3 linked regions of the Callithrix jacchus genome follow. The protein of the gene in region 1 interacts with the protein of each later gene in a pairwise test. Links are inferred from orthologs where the notes say so. Each region holds a gene or a part of one and is shown on either strand. Other genes may lie near its edges.

The links.
Region 2: the proteins of SPINK7 (region 1) and RABL6 interact in binary tests that used the Homo sapiens proteins (3 or more experiments, as listed by UniProt). The link is inferred for Callithrix jacchus from reciprocal best matches to the Homo sapiens genes SPINK7 and RABL6.
Region 3: the proteins of SPINK7 (region 1) and metallothionein-2 interact in binary tests that used the Homo sapiens proteins (3 or more experiments, as listed by UniProt). The link is inferred for Callithrix jacchus from reciprocal best matches to the Homo sapiens genes SPINK7 and MT2A.

The regions. Positions count from the first base shown.
Region 1 is NC_133503.1:47,017,208-47,021,382, forward strand, and holds the start of SPINK7 (serine protease inhibitor Kazal-type 7), read left to right. Parts: upstream 1-1,350; 5' UTR 1,351-1,409; coding exon 1,410-1,470; intron 1,471-2,536; coding exon 2,537-2,562; intron 2,563-3,262; coding exon 3,263-3,387; intron 3,388-4,175. UniProt on the Homo sapiens protein: Probable serine protease inhibitor.
Region 2 is NC_133502.1:185,271,121-185,274,771, reverse strand, and holds part of RABL6 (rab-like protein 6), read right to left. Parts: intron 2,990-3,651; coding exon 2,886-2,989; intron 1,751-2,885; coding exon 1,434-1,750; intron 1,266-1,433; coding exon 1,100-1,265; intron 267-1,099; coding exon 54-266; intron 1-53. UniProt on the Homo sapiens protein: May enhance cellular proliferation. May reduce growth inhibitory activity of CDKN2A.
Region 3 is NC_133521.1:14,458,881-14,461,767, reverse strand, and holds metallothionein-2, read right to left. Parts: upstream 1,509-2,887; 5' UTR 1,428-1,508; coding exon 1,400-1,427; intron 1,100-1,399; coding exon 1,034-1,099; intron 827-1,033; coding exon 735-826; 3' UTR 590-734; downstream 1-589. UniProt on the Homo sapiens protein: Metallothioneins have a high content of cysteine residues that bind various heavy metals; these proteins are transcriptionally regulated by both heavy metals and glucocorticoids.

The sequences.
Region 1 (4,175 bases):
ACTATGCTTTAGAGCAGACTTTTATGTATATGGTTCCAATTATGTGAACTCTATTGTGGCTAAGAACAGGCCCTATTGGATTAGGATGAAACTCAGTCTCTGGGATGATCTCTCTGCTGTTTGCAACTATTCTAGTTCTCCATCTGACCTTCAGGGGGCAAGGTCAGACTGTGTATTAGTCTGTTTTCAAGCTACTGATAAAGACATACCCCAAACTGGGTAATTTATAAAGAAAAAGAGGTTCCACATTGCTGGAGAGGCCTCACAATCATCGCAGAAAGTGAATGGCACGTCTTACATGGCAGTAGGCAAGAGAGAATGAGAGCCAAGTGCAAGGGAAAACCCCTTATAAAACGATTATATCTGGTGAGACTTATTCACTATCATGAGAACAGCATGGGGGAAAACACCTCCATGATTCAGTTATCTCCCATGGATCCCCCCAACAACATATGGGAATTAGGGGAGCTACAATTCAAGATGGGATTTGGGTGGGGACAGAGCAAAACCATATCAGACTGATTGCACTCACTCCATACATAACAAAGCATGTAATGGCTGTAAGACCACAAGGAGAAGTGACAGTAGCATTGCTCTGGGCTGAAAGTTTTCATTGCTAACATGAGAACTGAGAACTCATCTTCACTTCACCTTGACTACAATATTTCAAATAGTGACCACTCTGTCCACTTGGCATCCACAGTGAAGGCAGTACAGCATGATCAGCGGACCACCATACATGTGTAGCTTGAGTAAGAAACAAAGTTTTAATTTACAGATATCTTGGAGTTATATGTTATCACAACGCAACCAAGCCTTCTTCAGGCTCACAGCATGTAATGACTTATCCAAGATTATACAGGTAGAACATGTCAAAAGTAGTATGTTAATGATCTTCCCCATACCTCATAAATGCTAAAGTCACTGTTCCTTCTATTAGGTCTCAGTTTGCTTCATTGGTTCATTTCCTCAAAAATAAACAATATTTCCCCAGGTACCAAGATATAAACATAGGTGTAATTAGTCTAATCTGGGTTTAATCAATTCCAGTTTTGTAAAATAAAAGAAATTTCCACTTATTTTATAACTAAGCCAAGAAGCTCATACTTAATCTCTTCTAGTATATGAAGTTCAGAATTCTTAACAGTCCCACCTTTGGGGCAGAGAGAGAATACTTATCTCAATTAACCAAATCACTGGTCAGATAAGAGGTAGCAGTTAAGTAACAAGGACTGTAACACAACCGCCCAGGGTGTGACACTGTGCTTTGCGATCCTCTGGATGACCTCATAGGAAAGGTGGAGAACCAAGCCTTGCACATATATAAACATGACCCCTTTCCCAGGACATGGTCAAGGCAACTGTAGTGACAATCTCGGAGCAGCCTCTGCACCACAGCCATTTCCAGCATGAAGATCATTGGTGGTCTCCTTCTGTTCTGTACTGTGATCCATTTCTACAGCATCTCAGGTAAGTTAAGGTCAGACAATGCCCTATACAGCCATTAAGTTTGTTTTCACAAATAATCCCTCCTGAGATGTGAGCATCTCAGAAACATCTGGTTGTAAGAATTTAAAGTATAACAGTTTGTAACAGAATTTTATATTCTGTCTGTACTTTGAGAGACTTGAGTCTAATGTCTTCACTTTCAATGATTCTTATTTGCATCCATAGACCAAAAAATGATCTAATTTATCCATAAGTCTTTCATTTCATATGTTCATATGGACACTGGAAGTTGTGAGTGTTATTAGATACACTATTCCTTAGTGTCAAGATACAGAAAAATTTAGATGTCTTCTTTTTTTTTAATTTTTTATTGGATTTTAGGTTTTGGGGTACATGAGCAGAGCATGCAAGACAGTTGCGTAGGAACACACATGTCAGTGTGCTTTTCTTTCCTTCTCCCCTTCACCCACATTTGGCATTTCTCCCCTGGCTATCCCTCCCCACCTCCCCCTCCCACTGGCCCTCCCCTTTTCCCCCCAATAGACCCCAGTGTTTAGTACTCCCCTATCTGTGTCCATGTGTTCTCATTTTTCTTAAATCAGTTTGTAGGGATTAAAATAAAACACAATTCTCAAAAAGCCAAGGGTCAACAATTAGGCTTTTATGTTGAGAAAAGTTAATTAAAGTCTTTCCAACCCCTAAAGACATTCCAATAATGCATTTCTTTATATCAATTAGGAAGGAAAGGATATCAAAGATGATCCTTCAGGCTCTTAAGAGTGATGATTTTCATGATTCTTATTGCTACCTGACTTTGGCCAATATCAAAAAAACTATGAGGTTCAGAAAACATCCCATGATTAATAAATGGAGGAAATTTTGATAATTCTTTTGCCTAAACCAAGGGTTAATCTAACCCATTGGCCATTCAACTTCCTCAGCAAACAACTATGATTTTGCATAAGGATGGAGAGTGTGCTGAAATTCATTGCCAGAGAAAATCTAATTATATAGAATGAAACATATTAATTAATGAGATGTAAAATTTGCTTTATTTTTAACATTTTCATCTGCATCTCTTTTTCAGAAGCTGCTAGTCTGCCTTTAAAAACAGTGAGTATTTTGAATAACATTTTAATGCCAATGCCTATGGACTGCCATTTAGCCAATTTATGGTGGATAAATTCAGTACATTTAGGAGGATTCAAGAGGGAAGCAAACACATATGGAGAAATGGTATCTGCTCTCCAGAAGGCAACTGAAGAAATATATCTATAAACAAACATATTTTAAAACTGTTTTTTAAACATTCCAGAGTTAAAGGAGGGAGAGCTGCATTCCAGCTGAGAGGTTGGTAATATTTTCCTAAAAGGCGTAACACGTAAGAAGCGGGGCAAAAATACCCTGATAAATTACACAGGCTCTGGTTTTCAATACTAGCTCTAATACTTACCAGCATTTACCTTGAACAAGTTATCGCTAAGCTTTAATTTCTCCATTTATAAAGAGACTTAATGGTAAAACTTACGCTATTTAGTTGTTTTGAAGATTAAACAACAAAATTAATGTAAGATTTAAGTTTAATGTCTAGCGCAGAAATGCCCAGCAATTGTTAACTGAGATTAGAAAAAATAGAATATGGTAGTACTAGTATTTGTCATAGTGGTAATACTAGTACTTACAGAAGTGGTCAAGCAACATCTGAATATCTGAGCTGGGACTTCCAGCCCTTGTAGTATATCTAAGAGTGGCCAAGGTATCCTAGCTTGGGGTCTGGGAGAAAAAACAGGATATTTGCTTGTGTATGACACAGGTGGACTGCAGCATTTACAAGAAGTATCCAGTGGTGGCCATCCCCTGCCCCATCACATACCTGCCAGTTTGTGGTTCTGACTACATCACCTATGGGAATGAATGTCACTTGTGTACTGAGAGCTTGTGAGTACCTCATAAGAAGAAAAAGAGATCTGAACCCATGCTCTCTACTATGAATCCTTCTTCTTTCCAGGACCCAGCTTAAATCTCTATATGCTATAATTTATAATTATTCCCACTCAGAACAGCAAGTGGGGATAGAAAACGGACTGTTGCACAATCAGACAGGGTAGTGTCACCTGTTCTGCCAGCTTATACTGGTCCCATCCCATCACAGAACCTCCAATTCCTGTCTGTCAGTTGTGGGAATCCAGTAAGACTGTGAATTCTTAAACTGCTGTCCCAGAGCACAGAAGTTCTATAGAGACAAGTCAGGAATCACCATTAGGGTTAAAGGGACCATATAGGATAGTTTATGACATTAAGTTTAGCTTTGACTATATTAAGTAGTGGAGTGCTGTGTTCTTCATGTTTGAAAAAAGGGCTCTGAACTCCCTACCCTCAAAAAATTATTGAAAACCACTACACTACCTGACTTCCAAGATACTTAACAGTCTCAGTGCAGCTTGATTCTTAGACACAGGGTGTCTACAGGATTTTTATCTTCAAATTCCTAGAAGCTCTAAGTATCTGTAGCTTTAAAGGGGAATAAGGCTGCAAAATAAAGGCTACAAAAAATGATTGTTTTTCCTTTATCTAAAATAAGGGATACAAGCTGTCAGTATTTGGACCAGAATACCATAGACATGTTTTGTTTAGGTATTTTCTTTGGCCCACACAACGTTTTTGCAGATATGTAGCTAGGCAGATGTCACTTTTTTGGTACAAGACATGTAAATTGCATTTAACTG
Region 2 (3,651 bases), on another chromosome or scaffold:
AGCTGCCCCTACCCCGGCATCCAGGCTGCACCCCTGGAGGAACTTTCCCATACCGTTTGGCCCCTGGCTCTGAGCACTGCTGGGGAGCCTGTGCAGGGCCTTTTGGGGGATGTGCCACTTCCGCTTCCTCCTCACTTGAAAGAGTGATGTTTTCACTAGGGACAGGGCCTGTGGGCGGTGGGGGGCTCCCACATGGCTGGTCTTCGAGGTCCACGTCGTCCTGGAACCCTGCCACCATTGGGTTGCCACCCAGGGCCTCTGCATCACTGCAAAGCAAGTGGCCAGGCAGTCAGGAGGTAGCAGGGTAGGGACGGATGGCCTGGCTCAGAGGCCTTGGTTCGAGGCACCACAGCACACCCTGATGGTGGCCCCACCCCAGGGTCTCCTAGAAGCTGTGTCTAGTGGAGACGCCCCTCATGGCAGTCACGGGGCTTCTGAGCAGGAAAGGGCCGGGTAGGACAAGGTTGGACACAGTGCTGCCCTGTGGCTGGTCAGTGGCCTGGAGGGTGGCAGTGCAGCTGGGCACTGAGGGGGCGAGCCCAGCTCAGGGCCACTTTCTATCCTTTGTATTTCTGTAGGAAACCCGTGCCCCACAGCAATGGGTGAGGACAGGGTGCTGAGACCACCTAAGGTGGAGCCTGTCCAGTGGAGCCCATGCCTGGGACCAAATACAAGGCTTTACTGCAGGGAGCATTTGGGGCAGCTTGGCAGACAGCAGTGGGAGGGGCTGGCAGACGGATGGGGAGCTGGCTCTAGCTCCCAGCTCTGGAACCTGCAGGAACCCTGGGCCCTGCAGAGACGGTATCTGGTGGCCCGAACCTCGACATGTGACCCAGAGTGTCCTTACCAGTGCCCTCCATGTGGCCTGAACCTCCTCCCCATGTGACTTCCAGGAGCCTCACCAATGCCCTCCATGAGGAATGTGCCCTCTCCAGGGTGTGGGCAGAGTGGGTGGCCGGGCCATTCCAAGGTCTGAAAGCCCCATCCGAGCCCTTCCCTCTTCTGCGCTGGCCACAGATCTGCGCTGTCCTCAGCCACACTGCCCAGCTGGCAGGGGCCCCCTGGGGGCAGTGGGACAGTGGTTCAGGGCCCCCCTCACCTGTCGCTGTCCTGCGCAGCCTTGGCCCCGACCTTCTTCTCAGCCCTGGCGGGGGTTGTGTCTTCCAGGAAGCTGCGGTCCAGGTGGTCCTCAGGAATGAAGTCCTCCACATTCTGGACTTTTGCTGGGGCCTCTGTGGCCGGGACTGGCTCTGTGAACAGTGATGCTGGTTCCTCTTCATTTAGCACCAGAGGTCTCACTGTGCACAACCCCTGGCCAGGCCCACCCAGGCTGGGACTGGGACAAGCAGGAAGAGGTGGGGAGTGCTCCAAGACCAGGGGCCCCACCTGTGAGGGTGCAGGAACCAGGGTCGGAGGGCAGCTCCAGAGCCTACCTGCAGGAGGTGGGGCGACCTCAGCAGCAGGTGAGGTCCCAAAGAGCCTGGAGATGATGCTGCGCCGTGGGGCGGGGGCTGAGGGGCATGTAGGCGGGGGCAGGGCCTCTGAGGGTGGTGTAGGGGCCACGGAGGCTGGCGGGGTGGTGTTGATGGGTAGCTGTGGGGCAGGCTGGGGTGTGCTGGGGCTGGAGCTCCCCGTGGACACAGCGCCTGGAGCTACCACTGGTGACTGGGAACCCGAGGACGGGCTCTGCCCGTTGGCCGCCAAGGGGGATGCATGGCCCCGGCTGCGAACCTCCATCATCTCCAGGAAGCTGGAAGGTAGAAGGCGGTGAGAAGGCTGGCTCCTCTGCCTCTCCCTGAGGCTCCTGGGTGATAGGGGGCTCTTTGCTGCTGCTGGGAAGAGTGACTGTGTTCTGGGGCACCTGCCCCACAGAGGCCACCCTCCCAACCCACTTTTAGGAGCAGCAGTGCCGAAGGGTGGGGACAGCAGGCACCAGTGTGGGCATGTCCCACTCCTCAGAAAGTCCCTGGAGATCTGTTCTGAGGCAGCTGATGGGGGCTCTGTGCAAAGGTTGCCAGATGGCTGCAAGCGGACCTTCCCGAGGGGATTCTGGGAAGAGGAGGGGCTGGGCTTGGCGGGGTGCATGCAGTTGATGCAGCGTCCAGCTTGCCCAACTCAGTCCCTGGAAATCCCAGCTTGGTTCTGCAGAGAAACGCCCGTGTGAGGGGCTCCTTTCTGGGGCCGCCCTGGCAGCCAGAAGCCACGGGTCCCTCTAGGCATCACATCGCCTTCTCAGTCTGCTGCTGTGTCCAGAGCAATCTGCTCTGTCCAACAGCCAGATCCAAGGTGACCCACGGGTTCTCCCTCTGGAAATAAAGATCTGCTGGGGAACTCAGGAGGGGCTGTTTCAGTGTCCCTAGCTGGGTCCCAGGGAGGCTCCAAGTCCCTAGCTGTGCAGGAGCCTGAGGCAGAGGATGGGTCGGCCTTCCCACCACCGGCAACCCTGGGGCTGCCTATGCTGCCCATGCCCACTCAGGAGGATGCTGAGCCACCCACTCCTATCAAGGACCAGAGGCCTGTATGTCCTGACCCATATGCCTCTTCAGCACAAGGAGCTCCTTAGAAAGCACACACCACGCTGGTTGTCAGTCTGGGAAGCCGAGCTCCTAAGGAGCAGGCAGCCCCCAGCACCAGTGCCTGGCCAGTCGGTGGCACTCAGAGCAGCAGACATGGCATGACTTGCACACACAGTCCATGTCAGGTGGGACTCTGATGGGGCTCCTGGGGGCAGTGCCAGCCTGAGCCCTCCTCCACCTGTGCCCCAAGATGACTGATTTACCCCAAACAGGGCACTCCCCTCTGCTGTCCTGGAGCAGGCCAGGCCTGGCACCATGTCTATGCCTGCAGCCCTCACACTGCCCCCACCGTTGGGCCCAGCCACGCACATGCTGTAATTCTGGTCCTCCGTCTCCTGCTGCACCGACAGCTCCTCTAGTGTGGCGTCCATGTCCAGCTGGTTTGTCTCCAGCTGCCGCAGCAGCGTCTCCCTCTGCAGAAGAGAAGCACATAGGCCTGAGCAGGGACCCTTCCTGATGTGAGCACCCCAGCCCGACAGCAGCCGAAGGCATCGGGGGCACCACCTGCTGAAACCAGGAGATGGGGCAGGGCTGGCTGCTCAGCACCTCATGGAGCTCTGAGCTGGGCCTCACTGGAACCACAGAAGCCCGCAGGACTCCTTCACAGTGGCCAGCATGACACCTATGCTACCTCAGGGCACAGATGCCAACCACAGGCACAAACCCCAACAGAAGCACCTTTACCCATACATGTGCTTGCGAGGGTGCAGAAGCCCCACCTTCACCTGGAAAACAGCCTCTCTGCTCCCAGATTCGCAAATCTCCTCTGGGGGCAGGACTTAGCCCCGGCGTCCGTGCCATCACCCCCACTCCCACCAGCAGCTGGGCTGTGCAGCAAACCACAGCCCACCTGGCCTGGAACCCCAGGCCGGTCTGATGAGCTGTGGGTTCACGTTGCTGCTAACTTTAGATTCAAATTAAATAAACACCTGCAACAGCCACATCTCAAGCACCTGAGTCCCACGCAGGAGGCACCTGGGGACTGAACAGGGCTGTGTCTTCTTGTGGCCATGGAAGGTCTGCTGGCTGGACACCAGGGAGCATATACGACAGAGCAAATCAACTAGACAGAAAA
Region 3 (2,887 bases), on another chromosome or scaffold:
GGACAAATGTGTAGTGCTGGTAATTCTTTTATTTTTCCTATGTAATTTGTTCTTCAAATATTTGTTGAAATTTTCCTGTTGAATCTAATAAATGATCGTTGTTTATTTTCTTCTTAACTTTCATTTTCTTGTTAACTCGTTATTTTACCAGAATTTAGGTTTATGACTAATGGAAAACAAAACAAAACTGGTCATTCTCGGCAGGGAGTTTTGGAAATCCGATGTCAGACTCCAGCCACTGGGGAGTTGGATACCACCCCCTGGAGTCACTTTCAAGTCTAAAATCCCATGAAGAACTGAAGTTGGGCAGGGAAATCAGAAAGTGAAGATGAGGAATGGCGAAGTTTCTGTGCCACATTTGACATGACACTGAAACTGGTCGTGTATGTGTCCCTCCTGCCCCCATATGATCTGGCACAACATTCAGTTTTACAAAAGATGAAACTCAGTGTGGTAGCCTGGCTTGCCTGAATACACTGTTTCTTAGCAGCTTACACTTCCATCCACAGGCCAGGTCTCTGCCCTCCTAGTTCAATCCCTCACCCCAGTCTCTTATTTTTAAGGCATATAAAGGAAACCAGAGGCAGAATCAAGTCAAAGCTCTTTTATTATCACTCACATTATTTCATAGCAAAAGGAATGTAGCAAACGGGTCAGGGTTGTACATTAAAAAAAAAAAATCCAGGTTTGTAGAGGTCATGTTATTTACATATGGGAGCAGGGCTGTCCTGGCATCAGGCGCAGCAGTTGCACTTGTCCAATGCCCCTTTGCAGATGCAGCCCTGGGCACACTTGGCACATCCCACAGGGCAGCAGGAGCAGCAGCCTGGGGACAGAGAGGAGGCAGCAGAGATGAGTACTAGGGACACAGAGAAGGATCCCTGCTCTCCCTGATAAGAATCACTGAGGAGGCAACAACTTCCATGCAATGGGGCATCCCCAGACTGCTTTACTTCCGCCGAGGATGATGTAGAGGGCTGGGGACAGGCTGGAGGACAGTGAGGGGGTAGAGGAAAGAGAGGATCCCACTTACTTTTCTTGCAGGAGGTGCATTTGCACTCTTTGCACTTGCAGGAGCCGCCGCAGGTGCAGGAGTCACCTGTCAGGAGAAAAGACAGAGGTAAGAACGGTCCCTGAATATCTGAACGCGGGACGGCGTGCTAGGAGCCCGGGGCCGAGTTTCTCCGTCCACAACCAATTCCTGGGAACTTGAGCAAGCTATTAACTCAGATCTCCTTAACGGTAAAAAAGGGGGCTCCGAATAACCTAGAATGGAGAGAAAGACACCCCAAAACGCTTTGGGAAGGAGCAATTCCTGCCATGAAATTGAGTGATCAGAGAAAGAAAAAGGGGTCAGAAACTGCTTCTCTGGCGCTACAGGGCATCCCCAGCCCCTTACCGGCGGTGCAGGAGCAGTTGGGGTCCATGGCGAGCTGAAGAGGCGGCTGGAGTCGGAACACGGCTGCACGCGAACTCGCTAGGACTTGGAGTACAAGTTGAGGCGTGGCGGCGCTGAGCGCGGCGAGCTGTGTTTATAGCTGGAAAGAGCCGGGGAGAGCGCAAAAGCCCCGCCCTGGCCCGGCGCCGCCTGCACACGCTCCGCGCTGAGTCACTCGCTGCTCCCGGTGAAACACCAGACTGAGCTCATGGGGCCGGGCGCACCCCCCTCTGCACACGGGCCGCGGCGGGTCAGTTCCCCGAAGCCGGCCTACGTGCGCCTGGGGCTGGGTGCAGGGAGAAGACGTAGTACCACGCCGCGCGCCCAGCACCCTGCCCCTTGCCCTCCGCCGTGTGCACAGCTGCCCTCCCCCCGTCCTGTACTTTTGAAGCTGAGCCGTTAGGGCGCAGGTGAAAGCCGGACTTGGGAATGCTGTTTGCACGGTAAACCGGTTGAAAGTGCAGACTGGTTACAACTCTAGCAGTCAAGGCTTAATAATTGTGCAGCATCATAGTAAACCCATGGGGTGGTTACCGGTGATGTATCCGTGGCATGTTGAGTGCTTTAGCGTGCAACAGGGACTGTAGAAAGTGTGTCTGTGTGAGATGTCACTTAATCTTGTATCAACACCTAAGATAAGGAATCTCCGGTATTCTCATTGTAGAGAGGAGAAACTGCAGTCACAGAGAAGTTACTTGTCCAGGATCACACAGCTAGCGAGTAGCAGAGTGCCCTGACTGCCACCAGGCCCCAGCAGATGCTGATGGCCCTCTAACATAGAGACACCAAGGAGAGAGGATAAGGGCAAGAAGCCACAAGCTTGGTCTCAGGAAGCTCAGGGGCTAAGGGAACAGAGAGGAGGGGACCCTGACCAGCCTGGGAGAAGGTGGGCCATTGCCTGGGGTCTGAGGGTAAGAAGGTGCTTGCCAGGCAAGGAGGGGAAGGATTTGTGTTCTAGCTTGGGAAGGAAGGAACTAGCAGGAGCTAGCTGGAATGGCTCTGAGACATTTGGAAGGGGAAAACCCCGGCAAGAATGTTCTTCCCCTTTGGAGGCTGAGGGGGAAAGCCCAGGTGGCATCCACATGCCTGTCTGGAGAGGCACATCCTGTTTCCCTGCCTGCATGTGTCTGGCGCTGTGCTACCGTCTTAGGTCACCAACCTCGGACTGCCAGAAGTGTGTCATGCTAGGAGTCAGGAAGTGGTTACTGGAAGCTTCCTGGAAGGCTGAGGGAGTACAAGTTACTGCAGTGGGAGTTTAGTGAGGTGGTGGGCGGAGGACAGGCTGTCCTTGCAGCTCTTACTATAAGCACAGATGAACCGTCACTTCCTCTGGGGACCCTGTCCTGGGCCCCACGCCCGTGGCTGTCGTGGAAGGTGCTGGTAAACATCCTGTTCTTTCCCCTGCTGGCACTTTCCAGGCCTGTGGTATGTATGAACTGCGGTAACTCT